5 linked regions of the Cricetulus griseus genome follow. The protein of the gene in region 1 interacts with the protein of each later gene in a biochemical or structural test. Links are inferred from orthologs where the notes say so. Each region holds a gene or a part of one and is shown on either strand. Other genes may lie near its edges.

What was found.
Region 2: the proteins of Matk (region 1) and Sirpa form a complex in vitro, tested with the Homo sapiens proteins (3 studies listed by BioGRID, with this or other methods). The link is inferred for Cricetulus griseus from reciprocal best matches to the Homo sapiens genes MATK and SIRPA.
Region 3: the proteins of Matk (region 1) and Lrrk1 form a complex in vitro, tested with the Homo sapiens proteins (2 studies listed by BioGRID and IntAct, with this or other methods). The link is inferred for Cricetulus griseus from reciprocal best matches to the Homo sapiens genes MATK and LRRK1.
Region 4: the proteins of Matk (region 1) and Kit form a complex in vitro, tested with the Homo sapiens proteins (2 studies listed by BioGRID). The link is inferred for Cricetulus griseus from reciprocal best matches to the Homo sapiens genes MATK and KIT.
Region 5: the proteins of Matk (region 1) and Lrrk2 interact on a protein array, tested with the Homo sapiens proteins (2 studies listed by BioGRID and IntAct, with this or other methods). The link is inferred for Cricetulus griseus from reciprocal best matches to the Homo sapiens genes MATK and LRRK2.

Annotation. Positions count from the first base shown.
Region 1 is NC_048598.1:102,035,475-102,039,458, reverse strand, and holds the start of Matk (megakaryocyte-associated tyrosine-protein kinase), read right to left. Parts: upstream 2,805-3,984; coding exon 2,724-2,804; intron 2,552-2,723; coding exon 2,492-2,551; intron 1,939-2,491; coding exon 1,825-1,938; intron 1,726-1,824; coding exon 1,610-1,725; intron 1,523-1,609; coding exon 1,303-1,522; intron 1,047-1,302; coding exon 953-1,046; intron 290-952; coding exon 224-289; intron 1-223.
Region 2 is NC_048599.1:49,004,972-49,009,259, reverse strand, and holds the start of Sirpa (tyrosine-protein phosphatase non-receptor type substrate 1), read left to right. Parts: upstream 1-1,482; 5' UTR 1,483-1,501; intron 1,502-1,555; exon of another isoform or gene 1,556-1,683; intron 1,684-1,703; exon of another isoform or gene 1,704-2,222; 5' UTR 2,223-2,231; coding exon 2,232-2,313; intron 2,314-4,288. UniProt on the Homo sapiens protein: Immunoglobulin-like cell surface receptor for CD47. Acts as docking protein and induces translocation of PTPN6, PTPN11 and other binding partners from the cytosol to the plasma membrane.
Region 3 is NC_048596.1:130,973,379-130,976,892, reverse strand, and holds part of Lrrk1 (leucine-rich repeat serine/threonine-protein kinase 1), read right to left. Parts: intron 3,485-3,514; coding exon 3,372-3,484; intron 2,935-3,371; coding exon 2,720-2,934; intron 420-2,719; coding exon 255-419; intron 1-254.
Region 4 is NW_023276807.1:142,123,079-142,126,592, forward strand, and holds part of Kit (mast/stem cell growth factor receptor Kit), read left to right. Parts: intron 1-2,232; coding exon 2,233-2,347; intron 2,348-3,514. UniProt on the Homo sapiens protein: Tyrosine-protein kinase that acts as a cell-surface receptor for the cytokine KITLG/SCF and plays an essential role in the regulation of cell survival and proliferation, hematopoiesis, stem cell maintenance, gametogenesis, mast cell development, migration and function, and in melanogenesis.
Region 5 is NC_048595.1:388,273,344-388,276,857, forward strand, and holds part of Lrrk2 (leucine-rich repeat serine/threonine-protein kinase 2), read left to right. Parts: intron 1-1,387; coding exon 1,388-1,606; intron 1,607-3,514. UniProt on the Homo sapiens protein: Serine/threonine-protein kinase which phosphorylates a broad range of proteins involved in multiple processes such as neuronal plasticity, innate immunity, autophagy, and vesicle trafficking.

The sequences.
Region 1 (3,984 bases):
CCATGTTTGCATAGTTTCCGGCTGCTCGGGATGGACAAGGCTGGTGGACTGACAAGAGCTTACCACCCTCTGATCTAAGTCCCAGGGTAATGCACACAGGGAAGGCATTCTAAGCAGAGCTCCTAGGAGGATCCTGGGAGGTGAGCTGGGGCTGTTGCCCTAGTGCCTGACAACGCTCGCCTGTCCTGCACTGTCCAGCAGTGTGCTCTGTGACCCTCCTCACCTCCAAACTCCCCCTCTCCAATCTGTGCTCCTAGAGTCAGGTGCTGCAGGTTGAGTAGCCAGCCAGCTGCAGGGACAGAGAGACAGGGTCAGAGCTGGACAGGAGTCCTTCCTTCCCACCAGCGAGATGTGGAAAGCCAGCATCCCCACAGCTGTGCACACCCCCCAGCAGTTGCCCCAAGGCTGTATGGGGTGGACACCTCACTCCTGGTACAAATTACAATCCTGCAAGCTGCAGGCTGTCCAAGGAGATCATCAGAACTCAATCCCACCAGGTTCCCCAGGCTTCAGTTGTGGCTCCAGGACCTCCCTCGATGGACAGGGACTGTGGCTGCTCTGTGCCCCTCCAAGCCTGCTCTTCCCATTACTGATCTCCCCAGGATACATGCAGATCAAGAGGCACACAGGTTCTGGAATATTCCTGAACATGTCTCTGGCAGGCTCTGGCATGCTGTGCAAACCCCGCTGTTGCTTCTGAAAGCCCTCCTCTTTCCCCCCAGAGCTCTCTAATTCCAGACTCTGAAGACTGAAGCAGGACAGATACCTTGCTCCATCATGGGCACAACTCTGGGACTCCAGATCCCACAGGAGACATATGACAATTTGACTTAGAAGAGTCAGGGGCTTAACCAAGACAAGGCTGGGGTGGGAGGCAGGAGGCCGGGGTGGTAGGTGAGGCCGAGTCTGGGCTGCTGTGTATGAGATGATCTCTCCTTAGTGGCTAGCATACCCTTTGCAAGCTCCTCCTCGGCTGACTTGGTGCCCTGTTTCCTCTTTGGCTTCACCAGCTTGGTGCAGATGGCACCCTTGTCCTTGGTGTAATGCTGTGGGGACCAGTAGTCATGAGCCTCTGGCTCTAGGGACCCCTGTCCTCCCTGTCCCTCCCCCTCCAATCGACTCAGTGGGGTAAGCAGAACCTCCCAGGTCCAGGCTAAGATGAGTGTGTTTCCATGGCAACAGTGGAAGGTGCAGAATGCAGAGTGAGGGGCTCCCTGGAGAAGTGGCTCCAGTTCTAGAGACAAGTGAGGCTCCTGGGGACCCATCCACCTTTCCACCCCTGCTGCCCCAGCCACAGGTCACCTCCACCATGTCCATCAGATTACAGAAACAGACAGCCTCATCAATGGTAAGGTGGCCATCACGATGCAGGACACGGTAGTGGATGACATCTCGGCCGAAACTGACACACAGGACATAGTCTCCGGGGTGACGAGCTGATTCCCGAACAAGAAACAGCCCGTCCTCAGGTGGCTGCAGCTGCTGTACCGCTTCCTGGCCTGAGATCTTTCCATGGAACCATCTGTGGCGAGCCGTGGAGAGACAATGCCACATGGGGCAAGGATGGCTGAGGCCCTGATGTCACCCACCCCACCAGGGTGCCACTCACGGCATGAGACTGAGCTTGGGGTCTGTGGAGAGGGCCTCCCGCTGTCGAAGAGCAGCAGCTGCCAGTAGCCCCTCCTGCCCACTGCTGTGGTGCTTGGCACGGTACCAACTTTTGTCCTGCACGATGGGGAGGGGATGGAGGAAGGGAAGGAGCAGGTGTCTCTCTGTCCTGGAATCCCTAAGTGCACCCCAACCACCCTTCAGCTCCCTCCTCACCTCACAAGCCTCCAAGATGGTCACCATGTCACCCTTTCGGAAGGCCAGCTCACCCGGCTTAGGGCGTGAGTTTTCACACTTGGTCATACATTGAGTCCCAGGGGCCCAGCGCCTCTAGGGATGAGATGGAGGCAGGGGTGTCAGGGACAGGAGGGAGAAGTGGACATTGGGAGGGACAGGGAGACTGGGAGAAACTTTGGGCTGGTGGGGAGAGGACAGGACAAGGAAGTAGTGAAGACACGGGCCTGGAGCCTGGCACTTAGGTGACTGAGACAGGAGGATTCCAGACCAGCTAAATAATGCTGGGTGTGGTAGCTCACACCTGTAATCCTAGAACTTGGGAGGCTGAGGCAGGTGGATTTCTGTGGGTTTGAGACCAGTCTGGGCTACATACTGAGCTCCAAGCTAGGCATCTCTATATAGTGAGACTCTGTCTCAAAAGCAAAATAAAAAAATAAATAAAAGCCTGGGGGTGTCTAATAGACAGAAAAGGGGACAGAGGGTGGAGGGAAACTGAGTTAGAGACCAGAATCACCGGCACATGTAGAGGCCTGGGTTGCCTCTGGCCGGGTCCATGGGGACTGGGTGGAAGCTTGCCTCGGGGTGCATGCCCCCACCCCACGAGGACAGTAGAGGAAGGTCTGGTGACTTGGGGCCCCACACTCACGGTTGGCATCCTAGCTGCGGCAGGCGAGGGGTGCCAGGCTCGGAGGAAGCGAGGGCTCACCTGTGGAGGAGTCAGTGTCATGCTTGGGGTTGTCCCCAGGTCCAGCTCCTTCCTCTGGGTCTGGCAGGGTGGAAGCAGCAGCCAGGAGGCCAAGAGCCCCCCCTCAATCATCCCTCAGGTGGCTTAGGTCCTGATTCCCTCTGCAGCCCTTGGTTTGGGAAGTTATGGTTACCCGAGGAAGATCCTTAGATTCCCAGCCATCAAAGGCCAGCCATGAGACCCCGGAGTCTCTCCCTCGCCCTCGCCCTGCCATTGCTCGGGAAGGGAAACTGAGGCCCGGAGGCAGTAGTGGAGGGATCCGATGGCTCTGGTGGCAGCCAGGGCTGTGGGAGGGGGGCGGAGGACGGTGCCAGGAGCCCGGCCTGAGGCTTCCTCTTTTCTGGGCCATGGGCAGGGGCGGTGACTCAAGGTCATTCCTGGGAATCTGACCCTGGGTGGAGCCTGGGGAGGACGGGCTCCTGTGAGGCTCCTCGGGTCACCAGGAGTCACCAAGGAAGCATCTGGAAGGACCCACGCCACCCCAGCGTGGGCAGTGCAAGGCAGTTACTGCCCGGGTCCTGCTGGCAGGGGTCAGAGCAGGAGGTTGGGGTGCGCTTCTGGCCTCGGGCTCAGTGGGGTTTGCAGGGCTGCTGCGCGCAGGCAGAGGCGCACGTGCATCTGGGCACAGGTGCCACCCGGACACCCGCATGTGCGCGATACAGGCGCCTGCTAGACGTGGGCACCAGTGCCTGTCCCTGCGGCGCACACGGGCCCTGCAGTGATCACCGGGGCGCGCGCACTCAGAGACGCGCACGCCGCACCCAGAAAAAAAAAAAAAAAAAAAAAAAAAAAACAGCCTTCTGACGCCTCCGGACCAGGACCATTTTGGGGGTCGTACCCTCTCCACCCGCGCGCACGCGCTCACCTGCTCAGGGCGCGACCCCGGGAGGGTTCCCGCCAACGGGTCTTACGCCCCAAGGCTCAACTCGGAGCAACTTGCTCCGCTTCCTCATTTTGGGGCGAGGATGGAGGGGACCCGGCTCAGAGCCCCCGCGGGTCCTAGCGCCGGCCGTACTGCGGGCCGAGTTGCGATCTCCTCCTCCTCCGTCTCCCGCGCACCAGGCGGGATGCTGGGTGCCGAGTGCTGTGTGCCCGGTGTTCTCTGGGGCCCCGCTGAGCCTCGGCCTTCCGTAGCCCACCCCAGAAAGGCTGGGAATGCGAAATGGCTCGCGCACGCGCAGGTGCGAGAGAAGGAAGGAGCTCCCTGTCTGGGGAGGCGATCAAGGCAAGCAGGGCACAGCGGCCTCCACGCTGCAGCCTCCACTCCGGCTTCACTGTGAGCCTGGCCACTCACAGACAGATACTTCCAGAAATGCCAGGCACGCACTACTGAGGGGCTCTCAAATGTTCTCACAGAACTCAGGAGGCAGAGGCAGGTTTATCTCTATGAGTTC
Region 2 (4,288 bases), on another chromosome or scaffold:
CCTGTGTATTCCATGTAAATCAAACATGGTAGTCCCTATCTGATCCTGCCTGCAGTGGTTCCCATCCACAGAATTAATTTTCTTTGTCTTCTGGACTACTCTCCAGAAGTATGGCTTCTACACACTGTCGTCCTTAGCTAAATGAGCTGACACCCATGTGCGTGTGTGCACATACCTCCTTACCAGACTTTCGGCTTGCACATACCTGCACCTTCTAGTAGACTATAGGTGGGTTCTTGTTATAATCCCCTAGGCCCAAAGAAATACAACTAATATTTCTGCTAGGGCTGCCCTGTGGTCCCTCAAGGACCTGCTGCCAAACACTTCTCAAACACAGTTCTTGCCCTTGGTACATGGTGAGCTCTTCTTAAAACGCAGTGCAAATATCAACTCATGTAACCCTCCCAATGGCAGTTCTGGGTCGCTGCTCATGTTGGCCTGGCTGCTTAAAAGGAAGCCAGGGCACAGAAACAAGGTCTTTCTCCTAGTCTGCAGCTTCTAAGATCTAAGCGTTGGATGCTGGTCCCTATGTCTAACAGCTGCACGCTGCTTGCCTCTCTGGAAGAAAAAAAAAAACAAAAAAACAAAAACAAAACAAAAAACCAGAACCAGGCTTTTGGCCAGAGGTGCAGAGGACAGAGGGGTGACATTGCATAAGGGACTTTCTACCTGAGGCCTGGCCTTAGGCAATCACCCTCCTGGTCTCTGAGCCTCAACATCCTCTTTATTAAGAGACCGAGACAGCAGGGCCTGCTTTGCTTCATTACTTCATTATGTCCCTCAACTGCCATCATGGGAAGCAAAATTGGCTATCTCTGAACTTACTTCAACTCAAACTCTCCAATTAGTGGAGGGTCTTGATTCCTCTTCTCTGCTTTGGTGCGCAGGCAGCCTTCTGCAGATGACCAAGCACTTGATCTGAGTGCTTCTAGCGTTCCCTCAGGAAACCCCGGAGCTAGGGTGCATTTTGAATCCAGAGGCTCTGTCCTTTGGGGTTAGCTCTCCTTTCTCTGTCTGGCTCATTAGGGTCATCATTTTGCAGCAGGCCTCTCTCAGCACAGTTCTGTCTGTGCCCTCTCTAACCTCAATCTACTCTCCCTGCTGAGAAGGCCTCTGGTCAGTCTCCTCCCCAAGGCCCAACCCTACCCTTCCCCTTTCCCTGCCACAGCTTTCGTGCTACTCTTCTCCCCCAGTGCGTCTTTACCAAGAGGCACTGAAGTCCTTCCTACACACACGCTATTTTTGTACCATCACTCTCTCCTTCCTCTCCCCCCTTCCCCCTGCATTCACTTCCTGCTTTTGCTTTACCTCGGGCCAGCTTGGAAAGATTTGGGCCCCTAAGACCCACACCCACCCGGAGGCAGACCTTCTGCTTTGGGATACATGAACAGGGCCTCTTGGGGAGGGGCAGAAAGCAAGCCTCCCCGCCTCCTCCATTCTCTATCCTGGGCCAGCGCGCCGCGGGCAGCCTCTTGCCCACTGGAGGCGAGGACTGGCCAGGGTGAGAGGCCGAGGCCAGTAGCGATCGGCTGCCACTTCTCCAGTCCACCTTAAGAGGACGGAGTAGCCAGCCCGCGGTGCCGACCTCAGACAAACAAGTTTGCGCAAAGTGCTGCGCGGCCAGCCTCTGGGCAGCGGGAGCGGTGCTTCCACCGCCTGGCAGCCCTGCGCGCGGCGGCGCAGGTCCGAGCGGCTGGCGGGGACCCGCACGGGCAGAGCGGGCTCGCGCAGAGGCGAGGCGGGCGGCGCAGCTCGCGGGGCGCACTGGGGCGCGGGCGGGAAGGTGCGGGCGCGGGGCGGGGGCGCTCGGCCGGGCCGCCCTCGCGCTGGCCTCGCGGCGGCTCGGCGCAGCCCGCACTCGCTCTGCGAGCTGTCCCTGCTCGCGCTCGCTCTCAGTGCTCGGTCCCCGCTCCCTCTCCCTCCTCCTCCTCTCCCCCTCTCTCCCTCTCCCTCGCTATCCGCTCCCCCGCCCCCGTGCCTCTGGCTCTGCGCCTGGCTCCCTCGGGTCCGCTCCCCTTTCCCGCCGGCCTGGCCCGGCGTCACGCTCCCGGAGTCTCCCCGCTCGGCGTCTCGTTGTAGGAGGGGGTCAGATCACCCCGCCGGGCGGTGGCGCTGGGGGGCAGCAGAGGGGGAGGGGCCTTAGTCGTTCGCCCGCGCCGCCCGCCGCCCGCCCGCCCGCCTGCCGAGCGCGCTCACCGCCGCTCTCCCTCCTTGCTCTGCAGCCGCGGCCCATGGAGCCCGCCGGCCCGGCCGCTGGCCGCCTAGGGCCGCTGCTGCTCTGCCTGCTGTTCTCCGCGTCCTGTTCCTTGTCAGGTAAGCACCCTCAGCTCCCACTGCCACCCTCCCCAAGCTGCGGGCTCAGGCCCCGCACACTGCCGCTCAGCTCGTGTCGACAGATGCCTGTAACCAGGGTTCCAGATGCAGAATTGAGGCCCAGAGAGGGTCAGCCACTTGCCCAAGGTCACATAGCCCAGGCTAGAAGCCAGGCTAGAACTCTTCTTATGCGGATCTGCCCTGTGGACTGTGACTGTGTAGCCCTGCGCTAAGCGGCAAGGTATAGGAATGAGTTGGTTTACCGTACCCCTTGCCCAACCCGAATGAGGAGGCAGGCTGGCAATTTGCTTTCGGCAGTAGGGCGCCTGGCTTCCCCAATAGCTCCCTTGCTAGACTTGATTGGAGAGAGGGTGGGGGGCAGAGGTCCTCCCGCGCTGCTGCTGGGCTGTTGGGATGAGGGAAGAGTGAGCTCTCCCCCTAGTACCAGAGCAAGCACTGTTAGTGTGTGGAGGTGTGGGAGAGAGGAAGAGAGGCCTGGGTAATCAACAGCCCCTTGGGAGACACGGTGGATGTACCTGTGGTGGCACAGCCTCTCCCTGGATGATCTTCTCCCGCTACCCTCCTCTCCTGCCTTCCTGAGGCAGCTTCCCAGAAGCTCCTGCAGTTCCCGCATGTACCTGTGGCTCTGAGCTTGTCTTCTTTGTTGGTCTACATCAAACACCTGGCTGTCTCCCGCAGGAGGGCTCTGAAGGCCGGTTGGCCAAGGAGTGAGGTCACCATTCAGGAGTCCTGCGTCTTAAAGGGGGTTTGCAAAAATCCTGGGTCTCTCCTGGAAGGATAGGAAGGTTGGAGACACAGCTGGGGAGGGAGAGAAGGGGGCCTTATTTAGTGTCTTTTTGGATCGGTGTTAACCGGCATAGAGATCTCTGTGCCACCTTGCCTTTGCAGGGAGGTAAAGATATTCTCAGCGCGCCCTCCTCACCAACATTTGCCTAGAGCCTGGCATCTGATAGCAGTGTAGAAGGGGGGGCGGGGGAGCCAGCCCCGGGGAAGAGAGAAGAGGCAAGCTGGAAGAGGTGGGGCAGCCAGGAGCTCTCTTTACTGCCCTGTAGTTTCCCCAGACCCCCCAGGAACCCACCAAGTGCCTCTCCCCATTCATAGTTTTCAGTCACCATTGGGCCCTTTCAGGACCAGCTGATGAATTTCACCTCTCTCCTATGAGTGGCTCTGGCGTCTGATCTGCTTCCTCCTGCCTTGCCAAAGTTCCAGCCGTGCCCTGCCATCCTCCGGGGCTTGGGAACCCACAGGCACCTCTCCGAAGTACAGAAAGCTGGGCCGGGATTAATATCTACATGGCTTGTTCTAGACCTCTTTCTGACCAGGCCCCTATGGCTCAGTCCCTGGCAAATAGGTAGTGATTAACAAGTGTTCAACCCAGCAGCCTGTCTTTCCTGGGCGCTGGCTGGGAGAATGACAGCACCTTTCTTAAGAGCCTATCTATCCTCCCCTTCCCCACACTCACCTATAAAAATAGTCTATAAAATAGCCAAGATGGACCTTCTGTCCCAATCCATTCAGCGTCAATAACCTGAAAGGGTGGGAACAGAGGAGGGACATAGGTTAACTTCATAGTGTAAGTCTTCCGAGGTGAGAATGAGATTCTCAGTGAGGAAGGGACGGTGTATAGCCATTGAGCTGCAGCCTCCCGGCAACCTGCACACTTAGTCCAGGGGTCTCAGCATCGCATTCCCGTCTTTTCTAAGGGAGGGGACTTCAGCCCCCGCTGGACTCAGCCTCTCTTATTCGAGGCGTGGGATTTACATCGAAGAAGAAGAGGTAAGATAGGATAGGCAGGTGGAGGGCGGTTGTCCAGTTTTCGAGGAAAATGGATTTGTTTGAGCAAGAAACCCAAATGTCAGCTCAGAAAAGACAGCTTTGGGTGGAATGACTGCTGTCTCTGGCAGAACTGTCATCCTGGGAGGTGTCATGTGATTGCCGGGCTTCACAAGATCAC
Region 3 (3,514 bases), on another chromosome or scaffold:
AGTGCCTTGCATGCATGGGCTATTAGGTTTCAGGTAAGTAAGAAAATGACAAGAGCACTGGGCCCTAAGGACCAGGAGGCCTCTGAGTTCTCAGTATGAAAATCATGCAAGGCCACGATTTGGGACCCCCCTGGGAAAGCCCTTCTTTCTCCTGTGCACTGTCCCTTTGTTCTTGATCCACATAATGCTTCAGAACACAGAACCCTGTGGTGCTGGGTCCTGAGTACTAGAAGGCAAAGATGGTGGCTCCTCACCTCGATGTTGAGCAGCCAGAACTGGAGGTTGGCCACAGCTTCCTCCCCCAGTGCCAGGTTCCAGACCACTACATACAGGGCCTTGTCTGTGAAGAAGCACTGATTGACGGTGGCCATGCTGGCAGGACCCCCAATGTCCCAGACGTTGAACTCCACGGACTCAACCTACTTGAGCAAGAAGGCACAGAAGGGGGGGCACATTTGAGTGACCGAGGGAGTGAGGAAACCACAAGAAAGTTTACAACCTGGAATGTGTCTGGAAAAGACAATGCAGTGGTAGAAAAGTTACAGACTCCAGTGTGTCTAAGTTAGCAATCCTGGTGAGGGAAAAGAGCCCAGTGGCCCAAAGGTAGACTTCTGGGAGCTTCTATTTGCTGCAAACAGAGTAGGGCATCTGAGAAGATCATGGCCTGTCATATTGCTTATCTTAGGCTCTCCACAGTTGGAAGACATCTGGTGGCAGAAGGGCCCCCACTTTGACATCATGGCTCCACCCTATCTGTGCAAGGGCCAAATGGAGGAGGCACCCTTGAACTTATGTAGGTCAAAGGTTAGGGCCCACCAATGAGGCTTGGGAAATCCCCCCTGACTTGAGAATCCAACAACAGGAACTGGGCTGCCAGTAAGGCCGTGGAAACGGTTTCTCTATCACTATATGAGCTCAGAGCTGGCCTGGAAACCAAGACTACAGTGAGCTATAGCCAGGAGTCATTTCCATGAGGCAGCATTTGGCCTCTAAGACATACAGCATGCTGACCTGGTTTAGTATACAGATGAAAGCAGACAGCTGTTCTTAGCCAGCTAAAGGTCAGCCGCACAGGGCAGGAGGGGCCCACAAGAGCAGCAGTGGCTTTCGAGTGAAGGCGGTTTCAGGCCAGCCTGGGCACCCATGCACTGAAGAAAAGCTGGGAGCAAAAGTGACTGAGTCACTGACAAAACAGCAAAGCCAAGGGTACTGTAGAAAATTCTGGTTACTTGAGAGAACCGTCAGACGTGAGTCAGCTAGAGTCACTCCCTGTCTGTTCCGAGTAGGCCTGGCATTCATTACATCACTGTTCGGAACTCAACAGGCAGGACCCTGCTCTTATTTTTATTTTGGGTGCTGGAGATTGAACTCGTGGCCTTACAAATGCCCAGCACAGGCTGTCCTACCAATGTGTACTCCTAGCCCCAAGGGTCCTGTTGCGGGGGGGGGGGGAAGCTCCTAGTATGTTTGCTTACACCATCAGAAGGTTCCGTTTCTCAAACTGGATTTCCCTGATTTGGAAGGTGGTTTTATGTACAAAAACTCTGCAGTCAAACTTAGCCCTCATTGTGCTGGGCTTGGAGAAGAAAACCAGGCCCATTCTGGACACAGCCTCTCTGCTTTCTACCCTGTCACCCTTTCTCCACCGGGGATCCCTGAATCACCACAGTGAGGCAGAGACACACATACAGCAGAGGAGGACGGTACTGTCTGGCACTCGGGGAAAACCACTTTATGTCTGTTCTACGGATGGAGTGCTGTTATGGTTTGAACTGGAAATGTCTGCTAGTGGCTTATGTCTTGAACACTTGGTCTCCTGCTGGTGAAATCTTAGGAGGTTCTAGAGATGTGGGAGGTGAGACTTGGGGGCAGTAGGTCACTAGAGGCGAGTCCTTGGGAGGGTATTATCCTGGCCACTTCCTGTCACTCCCTGCTTCTTGTCCCCCACAGTGTGAGCAGCTATCTTCATCAGACACATCAACCATCATGATGTTCTGCTCAACAGAAGGGACCAAGCAACAGTGGAATAAACCACATATATATGCTCCCCTCTAAGTCATTTCTGATAGGTATTTTGCATTTTGGTCACAGCAACATAAAAGTGTAACATAAGTGCCAGGCTGAGGTCCCACTGGTTCTTTTCTGCTTCAAAAGGCTTTTTTAAAAAAAGTTTATTTCCACCTGCTTGGTCCTGAATAGAAAAGAAGATGATGAACAAATTGGTAAAGAATTCATCTTAAACAGGATATTGAATGGAATTTTTTCAGGGCTTGAATGGAAGCAGGAATCAGGGAGGATGATGGACTGACTCCTGGGGTACCTTCTCAGTCTCCTTTTAAGGGGGCTGAGAGATGCTGAGGTACACCTCACTGTCTGCTCTGGTGCTTTGTTCTTAGCCCTAGGGGAGCCCCACCCCAGCCTATTTGAAGCTAAGTCACCGAGGCCAGCTTTGAAGTCTGAGCATGCACTCAGAGAGAACCACAGGGGAATCCAGCAGACAAGCAGGGTCAAGAACCATTGGCCCAGAGCCTTGACTTCATTATGACAGAAAGACTACAAGGTCATGGAAAGAACCGATTCGTCACTCTTGGCAAGAGCTGGTGAGCAACAGCACAGAATGTCTTGGGCCTTGCACTCAGAATGTCCAGGGTCTCCAGGGGAATGGAGAACAGACCACAGGGAGGTCCCTCCCTCCCACTGCATGTCCACCATCCTTCACCTTGGCTTTGGAGCCTGCTGGCCTCTGGAGCTCCCACTTGGTGGTTCTGATGGTGGCCTCGCTGTGTGCTACCTGGGGGGCCTTCCCCGTCTGTAAGATCTCCAGGAGTGTGGACTTGCCCTGGCGTGGGGGACCTACGAGGATCATCTTCATCAGCTTACACTTCTCTGCTTTGCGTAGCTGAGCACGCAGGAAGGACAGTGTCGCTTTGGGGCCTGTGAGAAATCAGAGGAGGGGGCAAGTGAACACCCTAGGTGATGTATAACGGGGATGCACTCACATTTCTTAAGAGGCCAAATTCCATCCCAATTTCTAGGTGTTCCAAGGGAAGATGAGGAATCTGAGAGCAGGAAGGGATGACAATAACTACCCCCAAAATTAAGTGTGACAGCCAGGACTGAAGGACAATATCCTTGCTGCCCTGGTTGCCGTATTTTACTACCTAGCCATTCCCAATTGATGTTGGTAGCTTATCGCTGTTGATAGCTAATCGCTGTTGAGAGCTACTGTGCTGGGGCCATCTCCCCAAACTCTGAGGTTGGAGTTGGGCCCCACAGTTCATTCACCCACTGACTCCATCCTTCAAAGCTACCAAGGGAACCTGAGTTATCTTTTCACGGCAGTGATGTGAACAGGGCTGAGGAGGCCCTACCTTCTTTCCTGATCTCTGCAGGTACATTGCCAATGTTCAGGTCTTCAATGTCCAGTTGCCAGAGGTTTCCCAGCTGGCCTAGCTCAGGAGGAAGCTCTCGGAGGCCAGGATTACTGAAGCGAGCAAGTGAGAGAACAAGCACA
Region 4 (3,514 bases), on another chromosome or scaffold:
ATTCCCTTGGGTGGTCTCAAATTCATTCACCAGCTCTTATTGGGTGTCTACTGCCACCAGACCTACACCCTAGTCTAACATGCAGCTCTTGCCATTGAGAGTCTGATGGAGGAGGTGAAGCATGAGCTTGAAAAACAAAGTCCGGTGCTCCTTAGGGCCCCAGGATCAGGGATAGAGACCAACCAACTTGGCTTGGGAGAAGTGTGGGGTTCCTTACAAGTGGTAGTGACTTCTTGAGCTGAGTCCAGAGAGACTCACCGTATGGCTACTGCAGTTTCCAGCAAAATAGCATTCTCCTAAGAGTTCACTGTTGTTTTATGTCCTACTTTTTGACCTGATCCTACGGTTGCCTGTGATAATTAAATGAAACTTGCCAGATGGATGCTTTTGCAAGACGATGGCTCGTCTTCTTGCTCTATTTGTGAAATCTGGCATTAGATCCAAATTCTCAAGGGTGCTTCTACCTTGAGGATGGCTTTGGGAGGGTAGTGGCTCTTTTTGTGGTATTTGCCAAATGTCCTGCCATCAGCAGGAACAGGTTGAGTGACAGGTGGGTGTGTCATGCATGTGGACACTGATCCCTGCCAACCCATCTTGCTTCCAAGGAGGTGGCGTGCTGAGCAATGACTCTCAGAGATGTCATTCAACATTGCTACTGCCTTTGGGAAAATGAAGTCCTTCAGCTTCTGACCTGCCAGTCTTTGCGTCTCTCATCTATTGCTCTTATTAGTTTGCATGTAATTGATGTTGAAATTCCACTACTTCCGGTTAAAACACATGCTCGCGTGCGTACACACACACACACTGTCACACTGTCACACTGTCTTAAAGCAGAAATTTTCAGAACATTAAAGGGAGAATGAAGGGTGGTAAATATTGTCCACTTAATCATAGCCAGCTTGCTTATTTGGGGAGCATAGTAGTCCAATAGAAAACAACCAAATCAGTAATAATAATAACAATAATAATAATAATAATAATTATTATTATTATTATTATTATTAATGCATTATTACATGCCTGTATGTCATTCTTGGTTCTTTAAGAGATATTTATGACATTTGCATATATGTGTGTCTTTGGGGGGCTGCAGTGTGTGCCATGTGCCACAGCATGCTTGTGAAGGTAAGACTGTGAGTACCACAACTGTGGATCCCAGGAACCAAACTTAGATAGTCAGGATTGGTGGCAATCTTCTTTACCTGCTGGGACATCTCAACAGCCTTCATTCTTAGTTCTTTGCATGCTCCGTCACATTTACTCAACACCCTGCAAGATGGTCACCATTGTTCCCTTTCTATAAATGAAGAAGTAGAGTCAAGAGGGGGATTTGGAAGCGTAATCAGTTTGCACTGTCCATTACATCCCTGCCTTGCTGCTTCTGAAGTCTCCAGTGGTTCAGGTGGCCATCTCTACCTGCATGATGCTGACTGTTAACTGGTTCACCCTCAAAGGGCTGGAAGCCTTCAAGTATGATGCTATCAGAACTGTGCCGTACAAGTTCATCTTCCTTTCACTTGAGAAATAATTTCAAGAATTTGAAATTGTTGAATATCAATTGATTATTGTAGTTACACAGGACTGTCAAATTAGTCTTCCTGCTGGTATAATTTATGTTTTTGCTGATTACTCTCAGGCTATAGATAATATGTATGAACAAAACGTCGTGGCAGGTTTCTTCCTGTTTTCTGTCCAAGTGTTGTGTGAAATAAAGGTTTAGATGCTCGTACTGCCATTCACTATCCAGTTTTAGCTTTCCTGTAAGTATAGCAATCCACCTCTTATCAGCACCATCTCTTGCACTTCCTAAAAGGAGAATGTAGCTTCTATTTTTTTGCAACAATTCCTGATTTCAGCCATTCCAGTGTCCATAATTTAACATGACGTGTCTGGGCAGGTAGAGTGACTTGAACTCCTATTGTCAAGGAATCTAGTTGAGAATGCTGATTTTTGACCTGAAGCAGAAACCAGCCAGGTTGGTCTTGGCAGCCTGTGGTATGTAGAGTTCTTCAGGATCCCTATGCCTTCAGGTAGATAGGGGTCCATGCAGGGCTGGACAGTGTACCTCCTGAGCCCTCCAACCACCTTCAGATGTCTTCCATCACTAGTTTGGGTGAGCAGCAAGTCAGGTTCCTCAGTGGCCTCTGGAAGGATCTAGGGATGGTATAAGAAAGAATGAGACAATCATCAGGGTTGTTTAGCAGACTGACATAGCTATTTCTCTTCCTGCAGCAAAGCCAGAAATCCTGACGTCTGACAGGCTCGCGAATGGTATGCTCCAGTGTGTGGCAGCGGGATTCCCAGAGCCCACAATAGATTGGTATTTTTGTACGGGAACAGAGCAAAGGTGAGAGGATTATTTTTGGCACTGCTTAAAATTCAGAAGGGAAGGGCTATAATTCAATTGCATTTCAAATGTGTTTTCAGACTTACTATTTATTTATATTTTTTTTAGAATAAAAAGCTGCATTTTGATAATTTCTTTTTCTCCTATATCTTTGTGGCTTTTTAAGAAGGGATAATGGCTATATTTTTCTTGGTCGACATTAATTTTGTTTGCTGAAAAATGATTACTGAATGCCTTCTCTATTTTGGTAGTTATCTTTTTGGGTTTATCGTGCAATTTCTAGCCTGCAGGTAGATAAAGCAATTTCCCAGGGCAGAGTAATTAGATTTCCATTCTATACACAGGAGGCAATGTGTGTGGGAAATGTGGCTGCAGTTATCATGAAAAAAATTACCTCAGAAGTTAATTGCCAAGTAACCAAAAGTAATGATCGCACAATTACAACATACATATGGCGTTTGTGAGCAATGGGTTTGAAAAAGTGTTTCTCCTTGATTAGGTGCCCAGCCCCTGAAAAAGGAACATCTGCCATTGTGTGGCTTTCCCTCGACGTCCACACTTAAGCCTTAAATTGTCCTCTTGAATTACCTGAAGATGAAAACAGGGTCAATGTGCCATTTTTACACATCAAACACCGTGTTATACTCCAGTTTCAAAAGCTTAGTTTGGCCTCATGGATAGTCAGAATGGCGGTGGAAATCTTATTTTACATGGAAGACATTTTATGACAACACGTTAGGATGTTGGCTTGTTGTTTTGGTGTGGGTTTCACCAGAATGTTTTGTTTGGGGGGTACATAAAACCTCTGAATGCTGTGCCTTCCATGACATGGCCTGAGTAGATATCTTGCGCTCAGCAAAATGTTTACATGGAAGCCAACTGTGTGCCAGATGCTTGTCTAGTGTACACCATGCTCGGCTGTACCCACATCTCTGCCTGGGTGTATCTGAATTCTAGTGGGCATAGAAGAGATAGCAGACAAGATGAGCAATTGATTGGTATGTGTAGGTGTTTAGAAGGCAATGGAAAAGAGGTGTTCAGAGACTGTTTCCTGGAGATCCTTGCAGCCAGAGTGGTCATCACACACATGGCATGTGCTCCCATCTCCGAACCTAACTTTTTGAGTTTTTTGTTTTGTTTTGTTTTCAGGCTTGTTGATTTCCTGCA
Region 5 (3,514 bases), on another chromosome or scaffold:
TTGTTACTGATACAGAAGTGAGGCGTCTTGCGTTGTTGCATATCACCAGCCTTTTACACTGTAAGATCTGAAAGCACAGATACACAACTGATTTTGATCATACTGTTTCTGTTTTGTTAAGCGACATACCAACTTTCCCAATTTAAGATGAAGTGTACCAAACACACTCTGTAATGGGTAGTACATGTTTAGTGACCTTTTAGTATGAAGCCTTCAGATCCTGCTCTGAGAATGGCACCAGACTGTTTGGCTCCTGTCTTTGGTGTCTCTGTTTTGCTATTTCTCTACCATCTCCTGTGTCCCTGCTGATGGCCATTTCTTTAAAATGACCTTTTGAATAATTGCGGTTGTAGCAAGAGTCCCTGTACTTGCTCTCTGATGCCTCAAGGAGCTCTTCCGGGAGTGAGGTCCTCAAGAAGTTTACACCAGGACATCTGCTCACAGAATCTGGTAGTTCATGAGTGTATCTTTGTATCATGGTAATTCGGATCTTTCTTAAGCATCCTTTTCTTGGTGATATTATAGCAACTTGAGCAAATAGAACAGTGGCAGTAAGGCTTGCTTCTGAGACTTTGGTCTCTCATTCTCCGAACTGAATGACTTTAAAGTGAATTCAGAGCATAAAATTAACAGCTAATGAACAGAGGTGGGCATGTTTTATGCTGTTCTGATGTAGTTTGGAATTTACTGAACAATTCCTTTATTTAGAAACACAGCTTGCAAACAACCTGCTTTAGGCAAATGTTAAAATAAAAGAAAAACCACACTAACACAGTTATTATGTAGGAACCTCCAAAGTGATAAGAATTGGACTAAAAAGACATAACAATGACTTTAAAATTGTTTTATGATTATCATTATTTTAAGTTTCAGGAAATGTCTCTGTTGCCGTTTGCTGCTGTAACAGCATATCCACGCCTAAGAGGGTCACAAACTACAGAGATTTCTCTCTCACAGTTCTGGGGGGAGGGAAATCCAAGACCTTGAGGTTGGCATCTTCAAGGCCATTCCTGATGTGTCATTTCATGATGAAATGCAGGAGGACATGAGCACACATGCCCAACAGCAAAGGGAAAGGGGAGATAACTTATCCTTTACTGGTGTCCTTTGGGGTGATGACGGGGCTCAGTCCTTGTGACTATAAGCATCTCATAAAACTCCCATCTCAAGACACTCCTGTGTCACTGGATTGAATTTCAAGACATGTCCTTTAGAGAAGTATGCTCACACTAGCAGCATAGAAAGACAGTTGCTACTGTCTGCTTCTGAAGTCCCTGAGTCTGTCATAGCTGCGGCACTGAGTTTCATACATAGCAGATTCCAGCAGAAATGGAACCAGAAAGGATTTTTTACATAAACAGGAAGTGTCTTGTCCCTGTTCCCCTAGGCTCGAGCCTCTTCTTCCCCGGTGATTCTGGTGGGCACGCATTTGGATGTTTCCGACGAGAAGCAGCGCAAAGCCTGCATAAGCAAAATCACCAAGGAACTCCTAAATAAGCGAGGATTCCCCACCATCCGGGACTACCACTTTGTCAATGCCACCGAGGAGTCTGATGCACTGGCAAAGCTTCGGAAAACCATCATCAATGAGAGTCTTAATTTCAAGGTGGGAGGGTGTGCATCCCCTGCAGGCTGCTAGATAACTACCCCTTGTTCTTCCTCTCATTATACTGCTGCTTAGAAATGTCAGAAACCTTGAGGAGAGAGCAATTATCTGGTAATTGTAGGTTTTTTTTTTCAAAGCTGAGAACTATGAAAATACTTTCACTTTAAAATTATTTATTTATACTATACTTCATTTATAATTCATGGAAGTGGGGATAAAATTAACTAGCAGATCTCAAGAAGAAGTAGGAGAATCTTGCCAGGATACTGAGTATCATCCAGATACTTGCTCTCCCTGCTTCCTCTCCATGGGTTCCATCCAGAGGCTAAATAGGACAGTGGGGCCTGGGTCTCTGGTCCTCTGTGGAATCTGTTCTTCTAGCACCTTCCTTTGGGAGTCCCTATTTTACTTGCATCTTGATCATCTGTTTGACTCCTTCATAATTCTTTTTCTGGTGTTTTCATTTGTGTTTGTATGTTTGTTTGTTTAGGCTTTTTTCTCTTAATATTGTGAGTTGTCAAGACCACTAGTCGGTTTTCCGAAATCTTTAATTACCTAATTTGTAAAGCTAGGTTCCATCTTAAGACTTGTGTTTAAATTCCTTTCGCTCTCTTTGGTAAACCACTTGTTTAGAAAACATCAATAAATGGGTCATCGGGAAGAATACACTTTTCCACTACTCACGGGAAAGAAAGGAATATAGTTGAAATTTCTGGAAAATGTGCTGGGTACTTCAGTGTGGCAAACACAATGCCAAGTCTTTCTGTTTTGGCTCTGTGGAGATCCTAGAGTGTAGGCAGGGTGCCATCTGGCCTGGGTATCCCAGAGCAATTTCTTACAGGGCCACATTGCATTCTCAAAACTGCTCCAATTTGGAATGCTAAATAAGCCACAGTGGCCCGCCTGCTCAGCTCTGTTGCACTTCCACAAGTTCTACTCCTCTCAGAAGACACATGGGCCATCTATGGATGAGTTTGTCTCTGTGGTACCCAGGGAGAGAAACTGTTCAACACACATTTAATAGTTACTAGAAAGTCTTCCTAGTTTGGATACTATTTGCATAAGAATGGTGTCAAGTATTAGAAGCATTCTGTGTTGCTTTTCTTTTTCAATTCTCCCGTGGGACTAAAAAGATTAGCGGGAGTCTGGCTCTTTAAAACACAGATATACAAACTGCTCATTGAATTAATCTGTTTATCCAGTTAGTATACTTCTCTGGTTGTAACTGCACCTAAAGAATGTCCTTGTTCCTTGGGATATTTTGTTAGATTTTCCTTCTTCTGCTGTTGCTAAAAGCATATGCCAAGGATTTAAAGACCCATCTTGGGAGATGAGTTTGTTTTGTAAAAGCCTGAATGTAGCTGAAGCAAGCCTGTAAGTGAGGTAGTTGGATCAGTAGTCCCAACGGATGCTGCTATGGGGAGGTGACTGAGTCAGCCATCTAGATTAATACTACGTTGAGAAGGCTCCAAATTATTACTGTCAATCAGTGAGACCGGATTCCTTCTTATAAATGCATCTTTACAACAACTCTATGCAAAGAAGCAAAACACGATTCCCCAAACGTCAGTATTATTAAATAAGAATGCGTATTGCTAATGTTTACCCCATTCTGGCATGCTGGTTTGAGAATGCACTGGCTTGCTTTGATGTTTTTTTCAGATGGTGGGGTGGGAGAGCCTGCCTTGCTGGGATACTGTCGTCTTTGAGGCTTGCAACCCATCTTCAAGGAGCAGCTTTGACTTGATGAGAGAGCTCTCCCTGCCATGCCTCCTTTACCTTCTTTTTGTCTTGACTCCTTTTATTTATAAACACATATCTGTGTTCTTCAGAAGGGTTTTGTTTTTCTTCCCTACCTCAGTCTGGTAGTGATCCAATGCATTATCAAAGAGAAAGGTGAAGAAAATA